7 linked regions of the Danio rerio genome follow. The protein of the gene in region 5 binds, or shares a complex with, the protein of the main gene of each other region. Links are inferred from orthologs where the notes say so. Each region holds a gene or a part of one and is shown on either strand. Other genes may lie near its edges. The genes, in order: anp32e, morf4l1, dnaaf10, smarca4a, ruvbl1, mbtd1 and asdurf.

Region 1 (4,383 bases), on a different chromosome or scaffold from region 5:
TTTTGTTTCATTTTTGATATGAAATTACTTATTAAAATATAAACTGAACAAATGTGAGAATTATATGCATTTCATTAAACTGCAAATAAATGTGAATTAAATGTGAATAAAAGAAATCAAAAATAATTTTATAAATGCCATCAAATGAGTAAAAATATATAATTAATTAATCATAATAATTGATTTTAATAATATGTAATTTTTACAGTATAAACTGGGTCTTTTTAGGGGGATAGTGTGTGTGAGAGAGAGTGACTCTGTCTTTCTTTAACAATTTAGGATGCGGGTAATTGGCACCTAAAAGGTTAAAAATATCTAAAATAGGCTGTTGACTACAATAAAGACAATAATAATGGTAAAATTATGATAATAAAGGGTAAAAAACATATCTGATCTGTACTTTTAAAAAGTAATTGTAAAAGAAAAGATTGATATATGATACACAATCAAACAAAGAGTCTGCCCTAATGACTGTTTCATACAGAAAAGATTATTCACTTCTTCTCTGGCAGCCCAGATAAATCAGCTTAGCAGATCTGTTGTGGTGTCCATTGCGGTTCAGGGTCAGTGTGCCACGCAGCCCTAGTGGTCACCTTGGTGTACTGCACTAATGCACAGCGCTCAAAGCCTTCATTTTACATTTCCGTGGGGATACTTGTTTTTTATGCTGTTTTAAAATGAATGAAGACATTTTTAGGGAAAAAAATATGAAGGTTGTTTATTAATATATAATAACAAGTGAATATCCTGCTGGTGCTCAATGACTAAAATAGGCCTTTGTGAGTGAAGCGATCAGCAGCAGCACATTATGGGACAGATGGCGAGCAGACTTTAAGCCACCATGACTGTCTGGGTTTATGGTCAGCCATTTTGTATAGAACAAATGATTGTAGAGAACATACTCAATGTTTAAGACTCTTTTGACCTCACAGAACACATTTTACACGTGTTTTAAGGTGAAAATAACATAAATTATATTTTAAGATGTAAAAATGTTTTATTTTTGACTCTTAAGCATTGGCGTTCACTTTAGATTCTTCAGAATACACCATCTATCCCTGGTCTATAAATTAATTTCGACTTATTGGAGTATTAAAGGACACGGACTTCGCTTCAGGGCGCCAATGAGAACAAAGAATAGGCGGATTTACAGTTTGAAAGCTTCATACTGACGTTCTGGACGACCCGTCGAAAATCTACTGCGCGCGTATTTCCAGCCAATCGCGTCAGGCTATAAAGACCGATTATGTTGATAAGCGTGATCTGTTTGAGTGACAGGCACGTTCTCCAATCACGCGTTGACAAATAGCGATCATCCAATCGAAACGCGAAGTAGGCGGGATCTCAAAAAGGGGGTTGGGTGCGAGGTATCATGGAGGATCAGTTGGAGAACGGCAGCCATTGAAGATAGCCGAGCCGTTGGTCCGCGCTCCGGAGTTTCTGACAAATTTATTTTCTTTACGCGATCCCAGCGCAGCAATAACCAACCAAATGGAGATGAAGAAGAGGATTAGCTTAGAGCTGAGGAACAGAACTCCAGCAGAGGTGAGCGCTTTAACTATTTATTTTGTTCACAGAAACGCGAAATGATGTTAGTTCGCAACCTGTCTGTCTATCTATCCTGCACGCTCGGAATAGTCAGTGGAGTCCGCTGAATGGCAGCGCGGCTTGGAGACCACATGGGCGCCTTAACGGGATGCCAATTTGGATTTTTGGAGACTGCATATTTGGATATACACAAACAAGTAGTCGATATAATCGTAATTTTAAGCGCGTTAAACTCTTGGTGAATCTTTTGTGAACTCCTCACACGATCTCTTCGCCATTACATTAGACTTGTCGATGTGGGCGTCCCAACAAGCACCTCAAAATAACACACTTCGATATTAAGTATTTTTATCGGTCGCAAATATGTTTATTACTCAACAAGTGTCGTCTAATTTGCTTACGATGTTATTACAATGCCCCGATACGATATTGTTCCCGCTTCCAGCAGGAAACGGTAACAATTAAAGTAAAACTGTTGTGTATTGTTATATAATTCCTACCCCAGTCTTCCTTACATGCAAAACATCACGCGAATAAATCTCCTATCTCTTCATATAAAAAGTTTATTATACGCTAGCTTCACAGATGCGCTCCCTACTATATGGCTTTTCTAATCTAGTAACGTACGTTAAAAAACGAGCAGTTTCGTCTTCCATAGGCGGACATCTTACTCTCTCCGGCTCCTCAACATTAGGCATTCACTCGCCTCCGTTCTTCATCTTAAGACCCTCTAAAATGTTCAGGGTTTGAGAGCACAAGCACATATGGAGCGAATGTCAGGTCAAACTGTATTATGAAGCGTTCATGGCTTCTGCAGCGCCTCGCGGTGTGTGTGGTGAGGATGTGTGTGTGTTTCTGCTCGACTCCGTGTTGACGGGCGGGGAGTGGAAGTCATTTTGTTGCATCAATAGTTGAGACGCAGATGACGATGTTTTGAAGCTTTGACTCTGTTATTATTAATAAAAGTTCAGTGGTTTGATTCACTACGCTTACGTGGTGTGGAGAAACGAATAATTGGCGCATAAGAGCCAGAAATAGTCGCTGCGGTTTAAAAAAAAACTAGTTGCCATTTTCTTACGCGGTTACGTTAATGGCGTAATTATGTAACCGTCTGCAAAATTATTTATTCCCGACGTTAAACTATGCATTGGGCTTTAGGAAGCTGTTTAGGATGTCAGTCGCCGTTTTAATTGAAGGAATGTGGCAGATGGTGAAGGGCGAGCCCCCCTTCCTCCTCTCCGATTTTAGTAGATTATTGTAGGCTTGCCTGAACCGAAGTATTGAAGCACGCTTCTTTTGAATGGGGTAATGATGGATGGGATCTTTTACACGAGCTTGAGTTGATACTCTGTCTGACATGACATGGTGGACGTGCATAAGCGATACGTGGCTTTTAACTTGGGTGTATCTTGCGCCACCGGTTTAAAAAATCTTGCGCGCGCTGTGTGAACATCTTGTGAAGAGCTGGCTGTAAATTCACACACACCAAATCCTGTGAGATGAGGTGGGGGAGGCATTACCAGGGCTACATTACACACACATCACGTGCTCAAAATGTAGGTATCTTTCCACAAGGGCAACAAGTTATTGAATATTTAAATTTTAGGGCTGCAGTGCATGACAGTGAGCGCGCGCGTGCACGTTTCTGTTTGTTTTTAATGGGAGAATCAGCACGTCTTTCCTCAAAGCTTTTAAGTGCACATCTGTTTATTTGTTGAATACATTTTTTTTGTATATATAGAAAAGTTTCAAACTTGTCAGATAAACAAATATCTATGTTAAAGGAATTGTCTATATTATAATTTAAATCCCATTTAAATTAAATCATTCCTGTTAAATACATTAATTACTTACATTAAAATGTAAAAGTGTAAATACATTAGAAAATATGTGTGTATTGTTTGTTTCAATAATTGGAATTAAAAACAGGCTCAACCAATGGTGGGAGACGGGGGCGGGGCTATCCAATGATAAATAGCATACAGCAGCTCTACAGAAACAGGAAGGATTCATACTTTGTGTAGTGCAAAATAAAAAAAAAAAAACATTTATATTCCAACCCATATTCAGTTATTTTTTTGCTGTCTCTAAATGTTCCATCTCCGTTAATTTTGTTTATGCTATATATTTTCCAATGTTTTTGAACTTTTTGGGAAAAGAAATGTATTTCAATTTTATTACTATTAATAAATGGGATTTCATTTACATGGGTCATAAATTAATTATAGACAATTCCCTTAACATGTATGGCTGTTTATCTGACACACACACATATATATATATATATATATATATATATATATATATATATATATATATATATTATGTTAGGGAAAAATATTAAACAAAAATAAATTTAAAATAGAGCAAAATTCAAGAAAAACTGAATTTATAAAATATAATAAATAATTTTGTTTTGCAATGTTTCACATGAATTTAAATGTTTTTTTTTTTATATATAAATATACCTATTTAAAAAATCTATTTTGTTTAAATGCACTAAAATATATGACCTATGTTTACTGATAAATTAAGAAAAATATTCATTTGCAAAATGGGATGTACTCTACACACATTGGCGTCAATATACCCTATGATATGTCGCACAAATTTCATAGCTTAAGTGCTTTGAGATTGGTTTTCCAATAAAACCAACAAATATTTTCTTATCTGCTCCATCATCCTTAAAAACAACAGTATAATATTTACTTGTATTCTTCACTGCCTCATTTTCATTCCTGTCAGAAATAATATATAGCTCTTCCCTGACTAAGGTCTATGGAGAAGTGTTTGTGAAACCGGTATAAAAACAGCCAGTAGTCATCATAAATGATG
Region 2 (4,432 bases), on a different chromosome or scaffold from region 5:
GACACCTTATACGGTTGAATTTAGAATTATTAAACCCCCTTTTATTTTTTCTTTATTTTTAAAATATTTCCCAAATTTTGTTAAACAGAGCAAGGAAATTTTCACAGTATGTCTGATACTATTTTTTCTTCTGGAGAAAGTCTTACTTGTTTTATTTCGGCTAGAATAAAAGCAGTTTTAGATTTTTTTAAAACAGTTTTAAGGTCAAAATTATTAGCTCCTTTAAGCTATATTTTTTCAATAGTCTACAGACCATTATTATACAATAACTTGCCTAATTACCCTAACCTGTCTAGTTAACCTAATTAACCTAGTTAAGCCTTTAAATGCCACTTTAAGCTGTATAGAAGTGTCTTGAAAAATATCTAGTCAAATATTATTTACTGTCATCATGGCAAAGATAAAATAAATCAGTTATTAGAAATGAGTTATTAAAACTATTATGTTAAGAAGTGTGTTAAAAAAAACATACTCCATTAAACAGAAATTGGGGAAAAAAATAAACAGGGGGGCTAATAATTCTGACTTCAACTGATATTCCAAAACTTTTTATTTAGTCCATTCTTTTTAACATAATATTGTATTATCATGTAGACAACATACAGAAAGTATAAATATATCCTCTAGTAAATATTATAACAAATAAATAAGTCTAAAATATTCAGATGCATCAAAATAAACTTTTGCTACCAGCAAACTATGTTTATATATTAAACTATATACTTTACTACATCTGTCTTATATACACCTCTGAGCTAGCTAACTTAAACTGACTTCATCACTGCTCTTATCAAATGTCCAATCTGCATTATTCTCATTGTCACCATCTCATCCTCACGTTCATCTGTGGGAAGAGCCAGTTGTGTCCTTTTCTTCTTTCACTAACTATAGAACATTGTGGTCCTCACTAATACACTGTTCCTTGTATTTATATCTAATCAAATGCACTGCCATTAAAATTAGATTTAACCATAAAGCAAATGCCATTAACATACAACTAATCAACGTTATATTACTAGCATTCATGTTGTTATTGTTACAACTTTAAAGACCACAGCTGAGCTGACCTAGCTAGCTAATCTATCGCAATATCGCACATTCCTCTATTGTACAGCATTTCCATTTGCTAGCACATACATTTGATCGACTTACAAAATGCTAATTTGATCAAAATCTTTTTGAGTTGTGAATATGTCATCATAACTTATTGGATGTGATGTCTCAGATTTTGTTTGTGGATCTGGCATGGGTTGATGCTTTGATTTTATTGACTTTTTCATTTGCTTTCAGCAACTATTCAAAATAAACGCCAGTCTAACAGAAACCAAGCCACAGAAAAACACTGCACGTCATGTGACTTAACCGAAGCACATCATTGGCTACACTAAGGTCTTCTCTTTCCAATAACCACAAAAAAACAAAAAAAACAAACAGAACGTTGGTCTTAAAGAAACACTGGCAGAAGAAGAAGAACAGTGGCACTGGCAAAAATTAACGGTATTATGTTGCCATATGGCAACACCATGGGGTAGAGGGCTAACTATACAAAAACAAATCCCTTTACTTGACACAGAAAACAATACCAAAGCATTAATATGATAAACAAAACCACTACAAACACATGACTACATTTACACTATAAATGTAATGCCATTCAGGTACTGCTTTCAGGAAAACAAATATCAAAAAGCCTTTTGAAGCATGCATAATGGCATGAATGATTCAGGTACCTTAGCTTCGTATAGCAATGGCCCATGAAAGCACAGCACTCGTTCACCTGAAAAAACATCAGAAATATTAATATACAATGACATCCACTAATGGGCTAATAAATAAAATAGAAGTGTTACATATTCAAATATGTGTGTGGGCACAGAATATTGTACTTTCAGAAAATGCCACAACAAAGAAATGTTTTAAATGTATAGTAGATTTATAACAGTCTGCAGTATATTTACCATATTGTTTGTTTGAATCATAATTAAGCTCATTATAACCAAAATATAATTAGCATTTTCAATACACAATACTTAAACAAACGAGAAATACGCACATTTAAAACCTGCTTATATAGTCAAACAATACATCAAATCTGACTGTTTACTTGACATATGCGTTTACTTACAATCACCAACAATATTAACTCATATTAGAGTCCCAGTTCAGGAATCAGATTCAGAATAGAACACTGTTCTAAAGATTCGATTCTATAGAACGATTCATTCAGTTATCAAAAATTGCTAATGGTCATTTTAATGCAATAATATAGCCTTTCTTTGCTCATTATCGACTTCAGTTTTAGAACAGCTCCGAGCTAACGTCGTTGTTTTTACGCTTCAAATAAGTAAATGACTGTTCCCGCCAGGACTTCAATACTGCAATGGCCGCTTCCTGTAAACAAGGCCTGCTGTATGCTAACGGCTACATCATAGACAACAGCTAATGTTTTGTTTCAGGAACACGCCGCTGTGTGCGTCTGCAGAGGCTGTCAGATGCAACGAAAAGCACCAACGTGCGATCATGCACTCGCTTGACAGGTGATGAACAACTCTGCACAAGTTAAAGGCGGCAACTCTCAGCTAAAAAGTGTTTTGTAACAGACAGCTCGCCGTGCGCGCGCGCCATTGTGCAGCGGCAGCGCCCGCTTCCTTTGCACGGCAGAATGAGAGGATCCCCGATCGACGGGTGACTCTCGTGGATGAAACAAAGCGCATCTTACCTTCTTGAAATTTAGGTTTAGGGTCCTGTTTAGGCGCCATTCACAGATTAAACAATAAAAATAGCTGGAAAATCAAATCCAGGCATTGCCAGCTCCGATTTAATTCACGCAGGGTGAAGGCGCCGCGCTGCGTTCCTATGACGCACTTTACTGGCGCCCTTGTCAGGTGACTCTCATAATAAACAGCGTTTATCCAGCAGCCCCTGTTGACGAATGACAGAAGTTGTGCTCTACTCACGGCAATACATGTAAATAAGTGCATTTATGCAGATATATTTCAACGTTACGCCACGCCTCTTCTATAATTTATGTTTTTATTTCTTGTTAAAATTTAAAGGGGTAGCTGCACCAAAAACAAAACAATTGAGGTTATGCAAGGTGTACACGACTTTTGTTTATATATATATATATATATATATATATATATATATATATATATATATATATATATATATATATATATATATACATATATATATATATATATATATATATATATATATATATATATATACATATATATACATACATACATACATACATACATACCATACACACAGTTCTCAGCATAAATAAGTACACCCCTCACAAATCTATCTTTTAAATTCATATTTTTAATAGGAATCTATACTATATTAGTCAGTACTGAAGCAAATCTGGAGCCTATCTAACAAAATAACTTACGATAACAGTCCAAAAATAAGTACAGCCAAATTTATGTTATAGAAAAAAATATTAAATGCAAATTTAAGAAAAGAGAAAAATAAATAAATAATATTTTTTTTATAGGTTGTAAGTTTTTTTGGGGCCATATTTTGCTTGAATTTAATTGTATTATCTTTAAAAAAATTTATGTTTGGTGACTAAAATATTATTTCATTAAATAAATTTGTTTAATAAATTTGTTTCGTTTAAATGCACCACAATACATTGCCTATATTCACTGACAATTGGATACACATATGTGTGTACTTAATTATGCTCAGCACTACACACACACACACACACACACACACACACACACACACACACACACACACACACACACACACACACACACACACACACACACACACACACACACACACACTTTTAAGTCAGAATTATTACACCGGCCCCTCCGGTGTAATATCTTTTTATTATAAAAAGATATTATCTTTTTATAATATTTCTAAATTATGTTTAACAGAGCACAGTATGTCTGATTATATTTTTTCTTCTGGAGAAAGTCTTATTTGTTTTATTTCGGCTAGAATAAAAGCAGTTTAAAATTTATTATGTATCATTTTAGGGTCAAACCTATATTAGCTCCTTTAAGCAAAATTTTTCAGACTGTGTACAGAACAAACCATCGATATACAACAACTTGCCTAATTACCCTAACATGTATAGTAAACCTAGTTAAGCCTTTAAATGAGCTAAGCTGTATAGAAGTCTCTTGAAAATTATCTAGTTAAATATTATTTGTCACCATGGCAAAGATAAAATAAATCAGTTATTAGAAATAAGTTATTAAACTATTATGCTTAGAAATTTGTTAAAAAACAATCTTCTCTCTATTAAATGGAAAGAGAATTACAATCAAACCTGAAAACATTAACCAGAAACAAAAGTGCAACACATCAAGGTTTCCTTCATTTGTTCGTTTGTTCAATCATTGATTTCAGTGTGCCACTCCAAGGGTGGCCCCAGACATCCAATATTACAGGTGGA
Region 3 (4,490 bases), on a different chromosome or scaffold from region 5:
TGGCTCATCCCAAATAGCTACTTAATTACATGTTAGATAAGTTTCATTTTGAATTATACATCGTACATACCCAGTAAATACTCTTAGTAAGATATAAGATATTGATGCTAATTGTTTATTTTGTAAGCAACACCCTGAGTCTCGTTCGCTTATGTTGGCAATGCAGATACTCTAATTTCCTTTGGAAAAGCTTTCTCTCTTTTTGTAATTGAGAATGTTGATGCAGACTTTTCTTTACTATGGGAAAATGTTTTGTTTGGCTTTATCAGTTAAAAAACCGAAGCTTGACATATTTTTTTTTCTTAACCTTCTTATCTTACTAACAAAACCTTATATACATACATGTAAATTTTCCAACCAAAAACCTGTTTTCATATATTTTGCTTACTGAATTGCAGTAATACTATGAAACTATTTCTTACTCACAGTCTTTAAAAACAACTGAAATTTGTCAGTTATATAATCGTTTTCTTTAATGTGTGATTTATATACCCCTTTTGTTATATATATACCCCTTATATATACCCTTTTTGCTGTTATTTTTCTAATTAGGGGCCAAGCACCGTAGGTGCGTAGGCACCTATTGGATCCGTTAGCGTTCCTATTATTATTATTCTTCTTGTTTGTTTGTTTGTTTGCTTTATTTATAGAGCACATTTAAAAACAACAGATGTTGACCAAAGTGCTTTACAAAACGACCAGCATACAAAATCTATACCTATATATAAAAAATTTGCAAAATATATAAAACAGATTAAAATTAATTACAATCAAAGGCAAGAGACAGAAGGTGATTTTTTAGATGAGACTTAAAAGCACCAAGTGAAGAACATGACCGGATCTGTAAAGGCAGACCCTTCCATAGTCGGGGGGCTGCAGCAATAAAACCCTTTCACCTCTTGATTTCAACCGCGTTTTGGGGACAACTAGCTGAAACGTGTTTTCGGACCTGATTGGCCTCAATGAAGTGTGCCAGTGAAGAAGCTCAGAAATGTAAGTCGGTGCCAGACCATTCAAACTTTTAAAAACTAGAAGCAATAATTTATATTGAATTCTAAATTGGACTGGGAGCCAGTGAAGAGACAATAAAACTGGTGAGATACTAGAGGATTTTTTTGTCCCAGTTAAAAGCCTAGCAGCTGCATTTTGAACCAGCTGCAGGCGTGCTATTGATGCCTGTGAAACTCCAGAATACAAAGAGTTACAGTAGTCCAGTCTTGACATAATAAAAACATTAATGACAGTTTCCAGCTCTTTAAAAGAAAGAAAAGGCTTCAATTTGGCAATGTTCCCTAATTGATAGAAACCACTTTTGACAACTGAGTTTATTTGCTTGTCAAACTTTAACTCAGTGTCAAAAGTAACTCCAAGATTTTTTACGTGACTGTGGACCTTAGGCTTGATCGAACCTAATTTATTAATTGTAGATTCACAGACACTCGGAGGACCAAACACTAGTACTTCAGTTTTTGATTCATTCAAGTGTAAGAATTCTTCTTCCATTTCTTCCACCGGATATGAATGGCAGCCCATATAGGCGTATGCGGGAAAGTTGTATAATTTGGCACAATGATAGAGGACAGTCTTAACATTAATCAGACCAAATGTGAAGTCTCAAAATCAAACTCTCTAGCGCCACCACTTGTCCAAACTTTCACGTATGTTTATCATAATAACTTTTGAACCGAATGGGCTACAATCAAAATTCCGCTGACTCCTTGGCTCAGTCCGATTCAAACGCACCCTATGACATCATTTTCCGTCATGAATTTTTTCGCGCTATTTTAAATTTTTCGAAAAACCTATTTGATCGAACTCGTCCTAGGCCGTTTCTGCGATTTTCACCAAAATTGAATCACATGATCTACAGACCATGCCAACCAAGAGTTATGGAATTGAAGTTGATTAGACCAACTGTTTTCGCTTAACTTGCGATCAAATTTAACGTAGAACTTGCGAAAATGGACTTGAGACGATATCTCTGTAACGCATTCACCGATTCACACCAAACTTGGTGTGTGTTATGACAACTAGGGTCCGAGGTTATATGCTGAGTTTTGGCACATTGCCCCCTAGTGGTCCGGAGATACAAAAAACTTGATTTTTGGCTTATAACGTCTCAACCTTTCGTCCGAAACTGATAAAACTTGTCTCATTACATCCGGCAGAGCATGTCGAGTCGAATGATGTCTGATTTTCACAGGTCAGCCATTTTGGGCGTCGCCCATTTCGATTTTTGGCCAAAAACACTATATTTTACCAACATATTCACATATCATTACAAAACATGGTATTCATCTTCAACCCCATGCCCTAAAAGTACTCAAAAATTAAATATATATATATATATATATATATATATTATATATATATATATATATATATATATATATATATATATATATATATATATATATATATATAAAATTAAATATAATTTTAAAAAAGTGTTTCCGCAGACTGTTTTTATTAAGTCTGATTACATCAAACACAATTAATTCATCTTTACCATTAGAGGCTGGAGATATTCACAAACTGCTGACACACAACTGGGGTTAAACCCCTTATAAAAGGGATTTTTGCATAATAGATCATGAATAAATCTCTATTTTTAACTGATCCCTGACTAGTCTTATAGTCATGATTCACATGTGTATTGTGGATGAATATGAACTATGACGGTGAAGTAAACGTTAATAAACGCGTTGTAAACAGAGACTGAGGCAGTTGAGTTTTGTCGCCATGGCAACCGCGCCTCAGGACTTTTCTAGAAAGCGCCGAACTGGCTTAGCTAATAAACAGCAAAGCTTTTCAGCAGTTTGATTTGTGCTTCAGTGAATATATACTATGAAGAGACCTGACCTCTCTGACCAGCTGCAGCTCCCCGTGCTGGATCTCGTAGATCTGCATCACTCCGGTTCCTCTCGCGAAGTTTCCCATACAAACAAACTTGGCGCTGCACGGAATCCATTTGCTCTCGAACACCGTGTAGTTCAAGCTCTTCTGGATGTGCGCGATGATCTGCGGCTTCTCGAGAGCTGCTGACATGATCTGTGCTCAATATGAAACTAAAATCTATCAGTTTGAGCAGAAGGAAAGAGATGTCAGTTGCGCTGTTTGCTTCTTCTTTGTTTCAATGGCTGTTGACAACCCTCTTAAAAGCTATACTTCCGCCACCTGGTGGATTGGTGTGGGTTTTTGCTAAAAGGGATACAGCTGCGGTCGAGAATTATTTATATTATTTAACTACACATCTATTGTATTTTATTAACATCAACCCCAACCCTAAACCCAATTCTGACAGTATTATTTATTAAATAACCTATTAATTGTATGTTATTACCATATTTCCATCTACCCCTACCTCAACAATAAACCCAAACCTCACAGTAATGCAAAAACAGCAATTAAACAGAGTATTAGTCATATTATTTCATAAATTAACCATTAATTTTATTGTATTAACGTCTATCTCTACCCCAAACCTAAACCCAACCATAACAGTAATGTAAAAACAGGTATACACAGTATTAGTCATATTATTTATTTAATTACCCATTCATTGTAATTTATCAATGTCTACCCCCACCCCAGTAATGGAAAAAGTAATAATACAAAGTATTATTCATATTTTTTATAACATTACCTATTAAATTGAATTTTTATTAACATTTACCCCTTTTATCACAGTAATGTGAAAATATTAATTATTGTTGTAGTGTTACACAAATTATGTCATATTGATGTACCTGCAACTGCATCCCTTCTAGACTTCACTGTTTTTTTTACTGGATACTAGTAATATATAACAGAATAAAATGTATTTTACACACACACACACACACATATATATATATAATCTTTATAGTTCATTCTCCTTAAATTCCATTTATTATACCTATTGCATTTCACTGATTTATAATCGCAAAATACACTTCATATTGTTCTGGGGCATTTCTTAACATATTCTTAATTGTTATATTCTCAATTTTCAATAGACTGAACTTTGTTGCTCTTATACCGAGTGCTTTTGTTATTGTTTTTTAATTCACCCCAATTTATTGCTTAACATATTCTTAAATTAAAGGGACTAAGCCAACAAGAAAATGAATGAATGAATATTCTTAAATTCTCATTTGTTTTAAACTTAATTCTCCATAAGTTTCACTCATTTAGTATTCATAATTTCTAATAATATGTTTCTCTATCTGCACTGCTCCACATTTATTAACATTTCCTGATTCACGTTTTACAATAATGAATGTCTGGTAGGTGCTGTCTGTGTTTATCTATCTATCTATCATGTTTGTCTGTCTATCCATCCATCCGTCCGTCTATATCTGTCTGTCTATCCGTCCATCCTATCTATCTATCTATCTATCTATCTATCTATCTATCTATCTATCTATCTATCTATCTATCTATCTATCTATCTATCTATCTATCTATCTATCTATCTATCTGTCTGTCTGTCTGTCTGTCTGTCTGTC
Region 4 (3,863 bases), on a different chromosome or scaffold from region 5:
AAAGTCCTATTAGCATGCTTTGGAATATACCGTATATACAGTAATTTTCAAGGAACAAACCATATATGATTCATAAAGCAATGTCAAATATGCATTTTACAAATGGAAAGTGGCATATTTTATTGTGTTTTGATATTATTGGGCTAATTTTGACTGGCAATTAAGCTAGTTTTGTTGCAAAAACCTGGCAATCCTGAGACTGACCATTTTGAGTGCAACTTTTTAAAGCAGCAGATGACAAAACTGCAGTGTGCACTTCTAAAAAGCTGAAAATTAACATTACAAAGGTGCCTTATGATGAAAATCTGGGTATACCAAGGCATAGTAAAATAATAAACGATCAATATATGGATATGGGCATACTGTGTGCCTCAGACACCAGTTTCATCGTATTAATGTCAATTCCACAAGTGTAAAACCCAGGTAAACAATGGGCCAATCAGAAGACAAAACAAACTGTGACGAGACTCATGAGCTATGTCTTCTGTATTTGCATGCATCCTTACTTTAGGTCATTCATCCTGACCTGATGAGCAACTGACATAATCAAGAGAACACAACTCACCTGCAGCTCTGAGAGCAAACAAAAGCCCTGAAATTATTAATATGCACACCTCAGGCTGTGTTTGATAAGCCAAACGTTTTCTAGTGATACCAGTGATCATTTTCCTCCCTTAGTTATTTTAAGTGTGTATTTCACTTCCTATGCATGTTGGACTTTTATTGTAAAAACACAAGCGCCAAACAGCATAAGACATGTTTAAAACTCGCCTCAGGATGCAAAATCCAAGATTTACAGATTATACACTTATTCCTCTCCACTCTGAAGAGGCATATGGTATGCTTGGTTACATCTTTTGTTAATTTATCATGTTTATTGTGAAATGTGAAGCATATGTGTATTAACAAACACATGTAGACTCTTGAATCTTGTCAAATCACTCACCTCAACTGTCATCCGTTCATACAGAAGCTGATATTGAATCGTGGCTGTTTTCTCTTTGAATGTAGCTCAAAATACAATGCAATACATCTCTCTTTTCACTCTCTTTTGTCAAGTTTAATCATAATTTAGTTTTTACCCACAACAGATCTGGTGAGCATAATAGGTTAAGGTTACTCTGATTGGGTTATATTTGTCTGTGTTCAGCTTGCATCATGCTCTGTGTGTATGAGTGTCTGAAATCGCAGCAGGTCAAAGTTGAGTAGAGCAGATATTCTAGGGGTATTTAAGATAATAAATTAGCTTATAAAAGCGTTTCTGAAGATTTCTTTTGTTTACTTTCTGAAGCCATAAACCTACTAAGTAGATATCAGAGAACATTTTAACTTATTAAACCAATACAGTATATGGCCCCTTTAACACATTATCCTTATAGTTACTGTTATTGTTGTGAAAACCATTTTACCTTCTCTCCAGTCATGGCGAAGGGCGCGTTGAACCACTGCTCAAAGGTGCTGCAGCTCTTGAAGATGGTGGGCAGCAGGAAGTTGAGCAGCGCCCACAGCTCGGGCAGCTTGTTTTGCAGTGGAGTGCCAGTTAGCAGCACACGCCGGGGTGCCAGGTAGTGCGTATTTAATACCTGAGTCAGTTTACAGTGGTGATTTTTCATGCGGTGACCTTCATCCACGATCATGTACTTCCAACGGAGCTGGAAGAGAAGGCATCATCAGACACTGAATAAACACTGGTCTGAGAATGATTAATGATTAAAGGTCAGGTTAATACCTTGGCCAGCACTTGCTTATCTTTGATGATGTATTCATAAGTAGTGACCAGTACGTTGAATTTGCCACTGCGCAAAATGGGAAGGAACGCACGGCGAGCAGCAGGAGAGCCCTAAGATGAAAATAAGCAAAAAAAAAAAATGTGTTAAATATCCTACAGGGTTCTTCGGTTGTGGTTTATTTTGTATTACAGCATTTGATTTAAATCACCTTGTAAGAAACTTTCACCACAGATGGAGCCCACTTATCAAACTCGTACACCCAGTTCGACAGAGTCCTATAAGACAACAGAAAAATCACTAATCATTCATGCATCTTGGCAATGCCCATGGGTTGATTATTTTTGAAGAGAGGTGCATGATTATCTGCTAAAAATAAAGATATCCCAGGCCCAGTGTGACCCAATACAAGTTTATTTTATATTTGGTGAGCACTGCCTCTCAAGTACTAATATTACCCCAAATCATAGTGGGTAAAGAGCTGTATCATGTGGATAACTGGAACATTTTGTTATCGTTTTGCTGCATCTCAGCTCACAGTAAATAAATAAATATCACTATTGATGATGGAAAAGTGTATAATGAATATTTCTACACAGCATATTTTATTGTCCAGAAAAAAATGCTTGAGATTAAAATGCAAAGTGTACATAATATACCATAAAGAAAATATATATACAGGGTGTGCTAATATAGTATATGACATACCATAAGTTATAATAAATTTCCTATTTAAATAGAATACTTTATTAACTATAATAACAATTTTAAATGAATGACACTAAAATCATAACATCAAATCTACAATACATGCCAAAAAAATCCTTACTACACCCAAAACTGTTCAATTCTAGAAAGCCTAATTCCCATAAAAATGTATTTGGATTTATTTAACTGTTTTTTGCCATCGAGATCAGAGATTCCCAAATATTTTCTTATAAAGGGCCAAAAAACAAACAATTTAGATCTGAGGGCCGATAGTAAATTTATAAGACTAATTTCCCAATTTCTTTGAAATAATATTTATAAATAAATAGACTTTAACGTATTGGGCTAGCTAATACACCCTAATTTTTTTACATTTTATAATGAACGTATTACAATGAAAACAAACTAACATAAATTCTATTTATAACACAATTGAGTTCAATGCACATTTAAATAAATCTCATCCATTCCCAATATTTAATTCAAGCTTTCTTTTTTGTAGCTTAACAATAAAATAAACAAATAAAAGATTGTGTTAAATTAGAAATGACAATCTCTATTAAAGGCATACCCCTGCCCCTCCCCCATTTTTCCTCTCTTTTCAGATGGGATAGTGGGCCAAACCATGGGTTATCATAGGCCAACTTTGGACATCTCTGATCTAGACGCACTCACAAATCACCCCGATAATTTACAGAATATTCATATTTTTACATTTTTTCGTTCATCCATAAACCTAAATATTGTCAAATTCTTCCTCTGGTATCATGCAACTCCAGTGACTTACGAGAGGGGGACGATGATAAGGAAGGGTCCGTTGAGGCGTTTGAACTCCATGAGGTAGGTGATGAGTGCGATGGTCTGGATAGTTTTGCCCAAACCCATTTCATCAGCCAGAATGCCATTTAGGTTATTGTTATACAGAGACACCAGCCACTCCAGACCTTTAATCTGTGGACGGAACGAAAGCAATAAGCACAAGCCACCAGATTAACAAGAATCTCTCTGTGTATTTTTCGTTTTTATATCCATATCTTAGTATTTTCTGGGATCTTTTGTGGTAACTGAGATCGGTGATGATAATTAATAACTGAAAAAGTTACGTATCTTCAGAGAAAAGCATTACGTCGAAAAAAAGGTCACACTGAATGGTAGAGGGGGTTGCATACAATGCATATAAACGTGTTCACAGAATAGGATTTGCAAAGACACTGAGACCAAAAGATCTGTTCCAACTCTCTGTGATCAGCTGCACCTCAGGAATTAGTTTAAAACATTTTTAAAACAGAGCATGTTTGTAATAAAGTAAAAACTGTAGAGTAATATATCTTTTTCTACCTGATATTGTTTGAGCTGCCCGTTCACTAGCAGACTCGATTGCTTTTCCACCTTCTCTGTGACGGCGTGGGCCACAGCATAATATGACTG
Region 5 (4,328 bases):
ACTCATGTAATGGCGAGAATTTCCAGCATCATTACCGCAGTGTCACATGAACTTTCAGAATTAATTCTTATATGCTGATTTGGCACTCAAGAAATATTTATTTTATAGCTTAATATTTTTTCTTCTAATCTTTTTTTTTTTTTTTTTAGGATTTTTTTTAATGAACTTAAACTCCATTTATTTGAAATATAATCTTTTGTAGCATTATTATAGTCTCTTTTTCTTTGAATTCACTTAATTCATTCTTGCTTAATAAAAGTATTACGTTCTTTTAAAAATACGAGAGACAATCTCGTCCTTTATTCCACTGCCAGACTACCTGCCCACCTGTACTGACAAAAGATTACTTCAACATGCCAACTATAGAACCGCAGGAGAGAGAATAGCGAAGCATATCTGTCCATACCTTGACTGCCCCACTGTTAGCCTCGATGTAGATAACATCACCGACCTCCACTCTCTCCTTCTGCAGACTTTCATAGATGCTGGGATCCAGCTGCAGGAGAGATGAGATATGACTTCAAACAACCACATAATCAGCTTCCATCCAGCTTATCTACGAAATATAAGCATGCAGAAAAAAAACATAACAACATGCCTGCACTTCCTTACCTTCAACTGTTTGGTCCCCTTAGCTGTCTTCAAACCAATAATGACATGACTGATAGTTTTACCATAGCCTCCCATTGGGTTCTCAGTCTCACAAGGAGTCAGTTCAGTGACCTCTCCTTCATACACTTCTTTAGTCTCCTTGATACGCAGACCTGTTCGATCAAAAAACAAAACAGAACTTTAGATACTAGATTGATATAAACACTTTTAATAGTTTTTCGGTTTTACTGGCCAATACACTTTTACAAAAACCACATATTTCATTACGTAATAAAAAGCCAGAAGTGTATTTTCAATGGTTCATGCCATATATCTCTGTCAGCGTAGTAATAATGTGTGCATTCATGCATATCTCATTTGATCACATAGTCTACATTGTTTCAGAGTCATACTTGAGGGTTTCAGAGTTGAGGGTTGTGAACCAACTAGAAGAACAGTACAAGGTCATGCTCAAATCTATAGGAATACATAAAGGAAAATACAGATTTTACATGGCTTCTTTATTGTAGGGGTGTGTTATATCATCTAAAATAAAATGATATTCACTTAGTCCTGCTGTTTAATGACACGCTAGCTGACATTAATGCATGTTGCTCATTATAAAAACAAATACATATTCAGTCTAAACACTGCGGTTAAGCCTAGGACTATAAACCCTTTACTTCAAGTAAAAAAGCAAAAATATCAACAGCTCAAAAAACAGTAAGTTTACATTTCAAAACAAAAATACTGTGTTATTTTCAATTGTCAACATAATCAGTTCTGAACGGTCATACCAAAACATTTTACACATTTCAGAGCAACGATGGTATGCATTGTTCCAGAACTAATCTATTTTTAAACAAATCGAATGAGCCAAAGACTCGATTTTATATTAAAGACAGTCACTTGCTTCATTTTTAATTGAATCAGCAGTTTTGATTGAATTGATTTAATGATGGTAGGAATCACTCATTACGCAAGATAACGGCCAACAGCCTTTTTTGATTTAGATAAAGTATGTTTGAGATTTGCACATTTGTTTCATTAATGGCCCATATTTGTTTACCACGGCAAGTTGAATATTGCGTCTAAAATAGCATGCAAGGATGACTTCAAAACAATATTAGCACTATGTAATTGATTGAACAACGCTGTACTTTGATAGTCATTGACTGCTAATATGATTTCACTATTTAAAATTTGCAAAGAATACTTTTATGAAATTATATTATTAAGCAGAAAGTCTGAATGTGCGAATATATAAAAAAACTTTTCCTCTATCCTTTTTTGACAGGTTATGGTGGTGTGAGAGCTCACCTATGGCTCTTCTGAAGTTCTCCATCAGCACTTCGGTCTTCTTGATTTCTGATGAATAAACTTCGCTGCCCACCATAGGACAGAATGGCACTTTATTTCCCAACTCCTGTGCCATGGCCAGTGCTAGAGCAGTCTGTGGTGGATAGAAATCAAATGGGCAGACTATACATACTATCTTAAACAACAGCTCTGAAACTATTTTAATGTCCATTTTAATTATACAGTGCAGTGTAAATAAAACCAGTCTACCCTTACCTTGCCTGTTCCAGGCGGTCCGGCTAGCAAAATGGCTCTGCCAGCCATCTTTTTGGAACGAATCAGCTCAGTGATGATGCCACAAGCCTAACAAATATGCAAGAATTTTCTAGATGTTTATGTAACAGGATCAGTTTTTTTTTTTAAAGCCCAGGGCTAAACTACAGGCCAGAAAATGTCACATACATGAAAACATTATTTTGTTTAAAAAGTGTGATTAAAATATTCCATATATATATATATATATATATATATATGAAGAGTTCAGATGCAAAAACTTCTAAAAGCCGTCTGAAATGTTCTTCTAAAATAAACATTTTTATCAGGCTCCTGTTAGTAGGTTCAGTAATTACAAATTAAAGAATAATTAAAAAGTATGTTAATTTAATGATCTTTAAAGAGAAATAACTCATCAATAATCAATATAGAATGCTGAGATAAAAATGCTCAGCTTTAATGGAAGTTTCAGACGGTACTTAGAGGTTTTTGCATCTGAACTCTTCATATATAGCCTATGAAAGTATATGAATTTATCGTATTTACAATCAATTGTATCCAGCTCTTGACACAAGCAAATGAATTAGAAGTTTTGTATTTATTCTTCACATATAGCCAGCTACATACAAATCATTCGAGGTTATCAAATTAAAATGTTTGCTTTTCTTAATTAATGAAATAAACACGGAAATTGGTCTTTAGCTAGTGTTACCTCTCTGGCGCTTTCTTGTCCCACTAGCCCGGACGCGGACTGTTTAGCATTACCAGCCTCATCCAGACCGAGGCCCTTCACATGGCTATGAGAAGCGATGCGCTGCGTCTTGGTTGTGCTTTTTACTTCTTCGATCTTCATGTTTCTTAATAATTAATCGAACGCGCTGTGCGTGAATAAAACAACCACACGCCTGTCTCACGAGAGGCCGTTAAAATCAAACACAAGAGACCCGCGTTTCCATGAGGGTAACCAAGGCGATTTGAGGAAGTACCGTCCGCAAAACGTTTTTCAGTGGTTCTTTGTAACGATTGGTCAACTTGTGGAAACTCTGCATGACCATTGGACACTGCAACTGTCGGTCTGATCACTGTAAACCCGCCCCTATTCTTCGTGTGTGTTACATTTGAAATGTTGTGTTGGAACAAGGATCTACGCTGTGGGTTCCCATAAATAGTTTCTCTCAGAAGTGTAGATAACATAATATTTCCAAGGTGTAGATTATTTTTACTTTTAAACTAATTTATAAACAACTTTGTTCATGAGGAATGTTTCTTTTCTCAAACAAAATGCCGTGAGGCGGAACCAGTGATGTGAGATGCTGCCAGCTCAGGGATTGTTTTTTGGCAGCGCAGGAAGAGCAACTGTCAAATTTCTGAAAACTTTGCTGAATGAAGTAAGAGCCGAGGAATTTAGTTTACACTTTTATTTCTGATATCAAAGTTAATAAGTTGATATTATCAAAATTCATCAAATTACAGTAAGTTGGTTGTCTGACGACATCAAGCTGGTTGTTTTGACCAGCAGCGTCGCTGTCAGCAGTTCAAAGTCTGCGCATTCACTCTCTGTTACCCAACCGCGGTGTTGATCCAGAGATGACAGATTTTCCCAAAACACTGAACTTTAACGTCGGTGTCCTCGGCCATGTGGACAGCGGGAAAACATCTCTCGCCCGGGCGCTGAGCAGCACCGCATCCACTGCAGCCTTCGACAAGAACCCGCAGTCCAAAGAGCGGGGCATAACGCTGGATCTCGGCTTCAGTGCGTTCACGGTGCCGTTACCGGAGCACCTGAGGGAGTCCTGCGGGGAAAAACAATACGACAGTCTGCAGTTCACATTGGTGGACTGTCCAGGACATGCCTCCCTTATACGCACTATCATCGGGGGTAAGTGGGTGTATTTTTTTCAGTAAAGCAACAATTACACTAATAAAATTCACTTTGACGTGTGACTTCACGCCTTCTACGTACACAAAGCACTAGAAGTTACTGACTTACGTACTGACTTGTTTTTAATTAACTAACCAACAGAATAGTAACCTGTCAGGGCACTTTATAATCTGTGCAGCAGTACCACTTTTGATCAATAGGTGGTGTGTGTGCAGCGTTTGAAGATGCCATGTTAATCACTCTAAAGACAGAACAGACATTGTCAGGGAAAAAAATCTCACCC
Region 6 (4,057 bases), on a different chromosome or scaffold from region 5:
TAACCTGCCCACCTAATGGTTACGTTTGTAATATTTAAATTATTTGATAATTAATAACCTCATGTGGAAACTCTAAATCTGCATCTTGTTTTAGAGTCTGCTGCTGTCCACCAGAGGTCACATTTCATCAACCAGCAAATGCTTTGAGAGCCTTTCCGAATGAATGAATGAATGAATGAATGACTGAATAAAATACGCTGTTTTCCACCAAGTCAACCCTGGGTGCTGAAATGTAATTGGCTAAACTGGCATTGGGCGGGTTAAAATGACCAAAATAAAGACAGACGTTCCGGCACGAAAACATTTTAAAAAAAAAAAGAATATCTGACTTCAGCATTGTTTTTCAGATAAACAAGAATGTTCATTTAGCACGCTTCTTAAATATCTGCAAACATATGATGGTATTTTTATGCTTTAGAAGAGACAAAAACCTACATACAGCACCTTTAACTCATTCAATTTTTACTAATAATAACTCCATCGAGTGGTTTGAAACTACTATCTGTTAAACACAAAGAAGATATTTGGAAGAATGTCAGTTGCTGGGACTCCAATTTCCATAATAGGAAAAACAGTGTTCGACGGAAGAAACTCTTTCAAAACAAGTGAATGATGACCGATTTAAAACTTTAGCGTGAACCATCCCTTTAAACCTCGAGGCATGGTAAAATTCAGACATTTAAATTCAACAAATGTTAAAAAAACAATTAACTCAAAACAAAATTGGATAGCATAAACTTTAGTTGGATTAAAAAACAAACAGTACCAAAAAAGCATGGTTTTAAAAGGAAAAGGCAAACAAACGTTTAGTAACCTTTTAATTCAGTGTAAAAATTTCTTTTTTTTTTCCCCCAAACTCAACAGATACATTTTTCACAGCCATGCGGAAACAGTTTGAAATGCTTGTAAACAAATTAACATAAAATTTGACCAACAAAAGCTCCCCCCCCACAGTTTGAAGTATATACATATAAGCTCTATCAAACCCTATAATCACAGCACACGTCATCATCATAATCATCTTCGTCATAAGAAATAAAGCAAAGACCAGATACAGACTCTATCAAAAAAGTTACAAATCCACCACCCTCACCTCTTCATACAACGAGGGTCAACGTTAGTTCTTTTTTTTGTTTTATTTCATTAATTTCACTTTACATTGTTATAACAAATGATTTCGGCTATTTGTATCCAAAAATACAGATCTGAAGATATAATCAGCGGCTCTCCAACTTATAATTACAGACTTATTTCTCCTATGATAGACCTAACCAATGAGTTATCAAATATATATATATATGAATATAGCACCATGATGTGATTACTGAGGACAGAGGGGAAACGTCACAAAAACCCGTGTTAGTATCCAGACCAGAACAACAACTGGCCCTCATAAGATTCATCTCACATTGCTGCATGCACTGATAAGAACTCTACTGGACGACATATTTTTGTTTTTTAACGTATATTTTTGTACTCCCATAGCTTGAAAAAAAACAACACAGAGAGGATAAGGCATCAATTCTGCTGACAAAAGGATGAAGGTGAAGTTGTGCGTTGAAATTCTTTCAAGGGTAGCAGCTAAATTTGCCTCAACAGTCGTTTTATTTTCGTTTAAATTGCAGAAACAATTAATATTTTGGTCTTATAATGTTTGTGTATATATATATATATATTCAAGAAATTAAACTGAGCTGACATGACTGACATGACCAGTGTGTACCTAAATCCTGATGCTATGAGTTTGGGTTTATAACAAAATAAAAAATGATGGAAAAAATAAAAATAAATGAACGTGGCTCCTGCAGCTGATGGGAAAATGTGGCCATTAAGTCCCAGTTTGACATGAACACACGACAGTGCCTTACATTTGAAAAACTACACATGCAAACGACACAACAGCTACTGAAGAAACCCACCACGAACAACAACAACATAAAAAAACAGAATGATTCAGTACAAACATCCGCTAAAACTCATAAAGAATAAGAGAGAGAAAAACAAACGGTAAAAAAATACATTGAATTTGTTTTATACAACGAACGAACCATAATTTAACATGGATCTACCTACGACGTGGATGACCATTTACAAAAATCGAGGCAGCATTTAACAAACGCGAGCAAGAAGTTGTTCTTTTTAATTCAACGAACGAAACGGCGATCGAATCGAATGATTTTAGTAGCGCTTTAGCCGTGAACCTTCAAATAAAGCAGAATTAAATGAGATATATACGTTTCCTGAGAGTTCACCAACAACCTTACTGGTATTGAACAGAGCTTATAGTTCTACTAAGATAAACCACTATGCGAATGTGATATAGAGGATGTATTTACACTCAGAAGGATCTAGAACAGGGAAAGCTCAAGTCTAGCTCTTAGAAAATTGTCACAGTTTCTCAATATCTTTCCTTTTAAGTCTCTCTCTCTATATATATATAGGAGCTGTGTGATTTCTGGATTTCAGAGTAAGACATCGTAAAACAACACAAATATTATTATTGCATAACCTTCTTCTTTTCCTTCCCATGCTCGAAAACAGAAATGCTGTATAGACTTTTAAAAGTGAAGTATGTCACATGTCCAAGTGTGAATATTTATCTCTTGCATAAAATATAATGGTGTACACGCTTGCTTATACGGATTATAAGCATGAAAGAACTACCTATTGCAACGCATCTTCTTTTAGAGGTAGTCAAAATGTGGAATGGAATCAGGAAATGTATGGGATGGGATGTTAGAGGCCAGGCTAGTAAATGAGCTAGCGCTGGATTGATTGATCGGAGACTCGCGAAAGGTAGTGTTCAGGCAGCGGTGATTGCTTACGTTTTATTCTCTGGCTCAAAAACACTTTGACCGCCTGTATTTTAAAAAATGGCTCTTGAGATTGTAATCAAAACCTATAAACACTGGCGTCAAATGTCGAAAAACTAAACAATTTGCATATCGTAATCTTCACTTTGACTTGAGCACATCCCACCGCTAAAGTTACGCTTGCTAATCACATCACAATAAAGCTGCGGTTTGTTTGTTTACTGGTTTTACATTTCGTTTGAAATCCCTGTAGTGCAAATTGTGAGTGTTTTCCGTTAGTCTACTCTACATACCAGTAAGGTTTGATTTCAATACCATCATCCCTCAATCCACTACTATATTTATACGTTTAAATATGTTTAATATGAATGTCATACATATATATATGAATATACTGTCTCAATATAGATTTCTACTATTACCAAACGCACACCCATCCAAAACAAGTGAAACAGCGCAAGAACACACAAGGTACTGAAATGTCCACCCCCAAAAATACCAAAAATGTTTGTCGTCTTTTTTGTTTTTCTTCACCAAAAGAGGAAAAATAAGAGATAAAATATGTATAAAAGCGAAGAAAACTTTCAAGTACAATGAACACTGAGGAGGAAAAGTCCATCGGGCAAATTGTTTAAATGAGAACAAAAAATAAAGAATAAAGAAAAAAGTCAGGATAATCAACGCTATCCTTATTATATGAACCAAAATCCCCCCTTTTCTATCTCGCATCAATGACTGAAGTTCTTCTCCTGAAACCTGAAAAGGAACCATAAAAGGAAAGGAGAAAGACCTGGTTTTGGAGGGAAGTCTCTTCTTCTTCCTCCAGGTCTGCTGTGCATCTCTGCGTGTGGGGTTTTTTCCAGTGCTGTTGGCAGTGAGGTGAGAGTCTGTGATTGGCTGCATCGGCTCATGGCTCCTGTCTGATGTAATAACTGCCCGAGCCGTTGCTCTCCTGGTCCGAGATGCCTTGAGAGAAGGTGAACTCGTCGATCTCAGGAGTCTCTTCTTTCACCTGCAGCGAGGCCTCTGGGAAAGCAAAAAAGGAGACACAAGAATAACAATACGTCAAAGAGAAAACAGACAACTGAGCATTGTTTTAATTTATTTTAGTTGCCAAAGACTAAAGCAAGTTGTAGTTTTCAAATAATGAGATCAAGCAGACAGCAATATGCAGAGTTTAGATGTTTTAGTAGTCTGATAAACTTACCTGTGATGTTTTAAAGAACAATGCACACAAAAAATAA
Region 7 (4,630 bases), on a different chromosome or scaffold from region 5:
CTTAGAACATCAATCAGTGCACTAACCACTGCTTTCTTGTCAGTGTTTGTTAAGAATGCTTTCAGATTTTCAACAGAGGTTTGAGAGGCGTTATGATTTTGTTCAGTTGTAAGTGATGAAATGGATGTGTTCATCGGACAAACAGGGGAGGTCAGGTAAAGTCCAGAACTATTTGTGTTTAAAGAAACACATTTGGGAAGACCTTCACATTTCAATTCCGGGCTTTCAATTGGCTTGTCGTCACTGTGGAAAATCCATGGATAAAGTTCAAAAATAAATGTACCATCTAGTGAAGTGTCTGTTAGGTCAAACCTGTAAACTCCACCAGGTGGTACCTCCTGCCATTGGGATTGACTATCATCTGCTGGCTGGGAAGCAACTGATACGAGTGTGAAAAAAGCTCTTTCAGGATTGAATTTCCAAAGCAGACTTCTTCTCCCGAAAAAGTCCCTCCCGAACCAGATGCAGCGCTCAGACTTTTGGTAATAGATAAAGGCCCACGGTCCTTCGAGTTGTGATAACAAACATACAATATCTGAGGCACTGGTGGCCATTGACAGTTGATGAAGAAGAACTTTGGTGTCATTTTCTTCCTGCTCTAATTTCAGACCACCAAACACCTCTCCATTCCAGAGAAGCATATTCCCAGTGTCATCTTGAAGAGGTTGAGGGGTCAGGCAACCCCTCATATGAAGTACATGTGCAGAGAATAGGACACTGCAGTTTGAGATTTCTTTTGTAATGTCTTTGCTACAATTGGGTCCTCTGTGTTTGAGATTTTGAAGCACATTCTCCTCCAGTGGATCATGTGGTGTGGTCAAACTGACCACACAGCAGATCCCACACATGATATCACTTCACTATATATCTTGATATTCTTTCCGCATGTTATCCAGGTCCTCTGTATAACAGAATATTATGACAATGTTAGAAGAACACACTCAAAATGGTGGCATTAGTATTGTATTTATGTATCATCTATCAAAAAAGCAGAAACAACTCAAGTATAACAGAAACACTTACGTTTACAAGAGCTAAGGGTTTCTCCTTTGTCTGCCAGAAAGAATATATTGCTGTTGGGTTGCTGGGTGTACACTCTCTGTGAATATAATCTTAGTATTACTGGAATGTGATGATATCAAGTCAAGTTGAGCTTTATTGTCATTCCACTACATGTGTGATCTCGGCATGGGACGGTAACCGGTTTCAAGGTTTACCGCGGTTTGGAAAATTCAAGGTTTTAATCCCAGTAAATTGTTCTGTTATACCGTTCCCAAGTTATATGTAAAAGTTTTTTTATATATTTTTATGTGTTGTATAGAAATCTACGTTTTTCAAACTAACGAATAGAGCAGAAGTCAAAGATTTATTTTAACTATTTAGCCTGACATGTTTACTGTTCCAAAATATTATGTTCCTTAAAATAAATAATTTGTGTTCAGTGGGGAAATTATAAATGTTTGTTCTATTTTACCCATACATTTTAAAAAAGAGAGAGCAGTAATCACTTTCACAATACTGTGATACCGTGGTATTTTTATACAAGGTTATCATACCGTCAGAAATTTATACCGGCCCATGCCTAGTGTGAACATACAGAGAAACTAAATGTGCAGTCTCCCAGGACAACGGTGCTACATAAATTAATCATAAATACAAACACAACTCTGCACATAAGAGCTATTTTAAAAACCTACGCATAACTATAAGATACTTCACTATACACATGGACTGGCTATAGAAGTACTCTAGAAAATCTCCACAAAAATGGGCCAGAAATGAAACTCAGTCCTATTTGCTTCATTTACAAGTCTGCCATAAGAAGAACACTGACTTTGAGGTAAATTATCTTAAAATAATAAATTCAATAGTTCAAAGGAATTATCCAATTTGAATCCCCATGGGTTAGAAAATGGCAACAGATGATACATTTAAGGTACTTTATAAGTTGATAATTTTGTCAAGCTTAAATTCTACTTTGCTTTTAATTGATGTCAAATAAACTGTTTCACAATTACGTTTTATCTTTCATAAATTTAACTGGAAAAATATCTCTAAACATCGAAGGAACTTCTTAGTTGATATTTTTAAATGTGAATGTAATTAATATCATGGTAAGACTTTATTTTGATGGTCCCTGTTGCACATTTTTCTGACTAAAGTTGTACTGCAACTAAATGCCAGTTACTTCTCATTTGGGTATTAGTAGACTGTCTGCTTAATATCTGCTGATACTGCTGCTTTCAACATTTCACTGACTAAGAAACTTTGCAAGTACATGTCAATTTACACCAACCCCACCTGACAGTCTACTTATAATCTATTGCGAATTAGTATAGTGGAGCATAAGTTCATATATTATATTGTATGCTACACTAGAAAACATTTTAGTATATATTGCCTTCTATAGCGATGTGGTTTGACTTTGTTACATCTATAATTAAGTGAAAGCATCTGCTACACCAAATGCAGAATGACTCTTGATAATATATAGAAAGTGACAAGACGATATGACGTTACATACCCTGTTTTTCTTCAAGTTACTTAACTCGTCCACAACAATCTTTTGCTCTTTTATCTGCGAATGAATAGTTATGTTTTTAGGATCATCAAAAAACAGAAATTACTAAACATGCTTAACGCGTTTTACTGGTGTCAACTGTATACTATAAATTACAAAAAACATATATGATAGACAACCTTTTGGTTCAGCTCCTCTTTTTGTGCGCGCTCTTCTGAGGCCCCAGGCTCAGTTCGCTGTATGTTCTTGGAGGACATTGTTTATTAATACGCTTCAGATCATTTTTAGGGAAACATCTCCACGAGCAAGTAACTCGTTCGTCGCACAAGAATGACGTATGCGCCAACGACGCTTTAAAAGTGCGTCACGTAATCCTAACCCCATTATCCCCCATAAACAAAGCCTGTTAAAGAATAATGTTGGGTGGATAAATCTGCAGCATCTAAACAAAGACGCGTTGTTGAATGAAACAGGGAATCTAAGTAATGTGGTCAAATACGGTTCAAATACGTCGAATGCTTTCAAATAGAGTTTTTACCCGGATATTAACGACTTTTCATCGCGAAACAGCGGCTAGCCCATCTATCTAAACCTGATATTATCATATTATCTTATATCATATTTTGCCATTCTTCTAATGTACGATAAGATGGTAATAAACAAAGCCTATCATAGCTCTAGGCGTACATTATCTTATCCAAATATTTTGGTTTATCCTCAGTAATTTGAGAGCTATCCTAAAGAGGATTGTTTGCATTTAACTTTCAAGATGAACAAATAATGCTCATCTTAATGGAAAAATTGTTCAGGGTGTCCGCAGGGACTTTAAAAGTCTTACATTTCAAAAACAACATTTTAGGCCTTTTAAAACTTTACTTAAAAGGGTGTTACAGGTCTTAAATAATTTTAAACAGGTGTTAATTTTTTTGTCCATGTAAAGCTATTTAATCGGTACAAATAACAATTATTCTAAAAAAACAATTAACTAAATTGTATATTCTAAAACTCTTTACCAATTTGGTTCAATTATCTTTCTTAAAATAAACTTATTTTGTTTATAAATAAGTGTTTGAATTGTAATGGGGCAAGTAAAAACAAATTGCACTGGTCCTTAGAAAACAAGTTTGACATTCATTCATTCATTTTCTTTTCAGTTTAGTTCCTTTATTCATCAGGGGTCGCCACAGCGGAATGAACTACTAACCTATCCAGCATATGTTTTACACAGCGTGTGCCCTTCCAGCTGTAACCCAGTACTGGGAAACATCCATACACGCTCATTCACACTTATACACTACAGACATTTTAGTTTATTTATTTCACCTATACTTCATGACTTTGGACTGTGGGGGAAACCGGAGCACCAGAAGGAAACCCACACCAACATGGGAGAACATGCAAACTTCACACAAAAATGCCAACTGACCCAGTCAAGACTCGAACCAGCGACCTTCTTGCTGTGAGGCAACAGTGCTAACCAATGAGCCACTGTATCCCTCCTAAATTTTGTACATAGGAATAATGCTCTAAAGTGAAGCGAAGAGAGGGGTGGGGGGTTGTGCATGAACCCCGAATCATATCTCTAGGGGCCCCCAATATGCGTAAGCCCTTTAGGACTGTCCTGACCCTACCACAGGGGTGTCCAACCTTGGTCCTGGAGGGCCAGTGTCCTGCTAAGTTTAGCTCCAACACACCTGCTGGGAAGTTTCTAGTATATCTAGTAAGAGCTTGATTAGAGTTGGAGCTAAAGTCTGCAGGAAAGCGGCCCTCCGGGATTGAGTGTGGACACCCCTGCTCTACCATCTTTAAAGGACTTCACAGTCAAAAAAATAATAGTTTGGTAATAAAACAATGTCTCATGGGGTTCTAAACCTTTATGAGTTTCTTTATTCTGTTCCACAACAGAAGATATTTTGAAGAAATCTAAAAACCTTTAACCATCAACTTCTATAGGAAAAACACTACTGAAGTCAATGGTTACAGGTTCTCAACATGTTTCAAAATATCTTCATTTGTGTTTAACAGAGAAAAAAAACTCAAACTTTTGAAACTAGTAAATGATGACAGAATTTTCAGATTTGGCCAAACTATCTCCTTAAGGTGGGATAA

The links.
Region 1: ruvbl1 (region 5) and anp32e share a complex: the UniProt entries of both Homo sapiens proteins name them as parts of the SWR1-like complex. The link is inferred for Danio rerio from reciprocal best matches to the Homo sapiens genes RUVBL1 and ANP32E.
Region 2: ruvbl1 (region 5) and morf4l1 share a complex: the UniProt entries of both Homo sapiens proteins name them as parts of the nuA4 histone acetyltransferase complex. The link is inferred for Danio rerio from reciprocal best matches to the Homo sapiens genes RUVBL1 and MORF4L1.
Region 3: ruvbl1 (region 5) and dnaaf10 share a complex: the UniProt entries of both Homo sapiens proteins name them as parts of the PAQosome complex. The link is inferred for Danio rerio from reciprocal best matches to the Homo sapiens genes RUVBL1 and DNAAF10.
Region 4: ruvbl1 (region 5) and smarca4a share a complex: the UniProt entries of both Homo sapiens proteins name them as parts of the BAF53 complex. The link is inferred for Danio rerio from reciprocal best matches to the Homo sapiens genes RUVBL1 and SMARCA4.
Region 6: ruvbl1 (region 5) and mbtd1 share a complex: the UniProt entries of both Homo sapiens proteins name them as parts of the nuA4 histone acetyltransferase complex. The link is inferred for Danio rerio from reciprocal best matches to the Homo sapiens genes RUVBL1 and MBTD1.
Region 7: ruvbl1 (region 5) and asdurf share a complex: the UniProt entries of both Homo sapiens proteins name them as parts of the PAQosome complex. The link is inferred for Danio rerio from reciprocal best matches to the Homo sapiens genes RUVBL1 and ASDURF.

The regions. Positions count from the first base shown.
Region 1 is NC_133194.1:45,163,740-45,168,122, forward strand, and holds the start of anp32e (acidic leucine-rich nuclear phosphoprotein 32 family member E), read left to right. Parts: upstream 1-1,395; 5' UTR 1,396-1,491; coding exon 1,492-1,545; intron 1,546-4,383. UniProt on the Homo sapiens protein: Histone chaperone that specifically mediates the genome-wide removal of histone H2A.Z/H2AZ1 from the nucleosome: removes H2A.Z/H2AZ1 from its normal sites of deposition, especially from enhancer and insulator regions.
Region 2 is NC_133193.1:21,420,698-21,425,129, reverse strand, and holds the start of morf4l1 (mortality factor 4-like protein 1), read right to left. Parts: upstream 2,943-4,432; 5' UTR 2,760-2,942; coding exon 2,720-2,759; intron 2,647-2,719; exon of another isoform or gene 2,126-2,646; intron 1,778-2,125; coding exon 1,731-1,777; intron 1-1,730. UniProt on the Homo sapiens protein: Component of the NuA4 histone acetyltransferase (HAT) complex which is involved in transcriptional activation of select genes principally by acetylation of nucleosomal histones H4 and H2A.
Region 3 is NC_133188.1:1,036,528-1,041,017, reverse strand, and holds the start of dnaaf10 (dynein axonemal assembly factor 10), read right to left. Parts: upstream 3,071-4,490; 5' UTR 3,049-3,070; coding exon 2,863-3,048; intron 1-2,862. UniProt on the Homo sapiens protein: Key assembly factor specifically required for the stability of axonemal dynein heavy chains in cytoplasm.
Region 4 is NC_133178.1:18,046,989-18,050,851, reverse strand, and holds part of smarca4a (SWI/SNF related BAF chromatin remodeling complex subunit ATPase 4a), read right to left. Parts: coding exon 3,774-3,863; intron 3,387-3,773; coding exon 3,223-3,386; intron 2,006-3,222; coding exon 1,939-2,005; intron 1,841-1,938; coding exon 1,730-1,840; intron 1,653-1,729; coding exon 1,410-1,652; exon of another isoform or gene 1,283-1,409; intron 1,180-1,282; exon of another isoform or gene 1-1,179. UniProt on the Homo sapiens protein: ATPase involved in transcriptional activation and repression of select genes by chromatin remodeling (alteration of DNA-nucleosome topology).
Region 5 is NC_133181.1:43,388,343-43,392,670, reverse strand, and holds the start of ruvbl1 (ruvB-like 1), read right to left. Parts: upstream 3,164-4,328; 5' UTR 3,017-3,163; coding exon 2,876-3,016; intron 2,254-2,875; coding exon 2,167-2,253; intron 2,045-2,166; coding exon 1,912-2,044; intron 765-1,911; coding exon 613-764; intron 497-612; coding exon 407-496; intron 1-406. Other genes in the region: eefsec (selenocysteine-specific elongation factor), read left to right, coding at 3,751-4,042. UniProt on the Homo sapiens protein: Possesses single-stranded DNA-stimulated ATPase and ATP-dependent DNA helicase (3' to 5') activity; hexamerization is thought to be critical for ATP hydrolysis and adjacent subunits in the ring-like structure contribute to the ATPase activity.
Region 6 is NC_133187.1:35,448,045-35,452,101, forward strand, and holds the end of mbtd1 (MBT domain-containing protein 1), read right to left. Parts: intron 3,840-4,057; coding exon 3,721-3,839; 3' UTR 802-3,720; downstream 1-801. UniProt on the Homo sapiens protein: Chromatin reader component of the NuA4 histone acetyltransferase complex, a multiprotein complex involved in transcriptional activation of select genes principally by acetylation of nucleosomal histones H4 and H2A.
Region 7 is NC_133184.1:42,816,308-42,820,937, forward strand, and holds asdurf (ASNSD1 upstream open reading frame protein), read right to left. Parts: upstream 2,854-4,630; 5' UTR 2,779-2,853; coding exon 2,701-2,778; intron 2,579-2,700; coding exon 2,525-2,578; intron 1,100-2,524; coding exon 1,024-1,099; intron 902-1,023; coding exon 861-901; 3' UTR 849-860; downstream 1-848. Other genes in the region: asnsd1 (asparagine synthetase domain-containing protein 1), read right to left, coding at 1-848.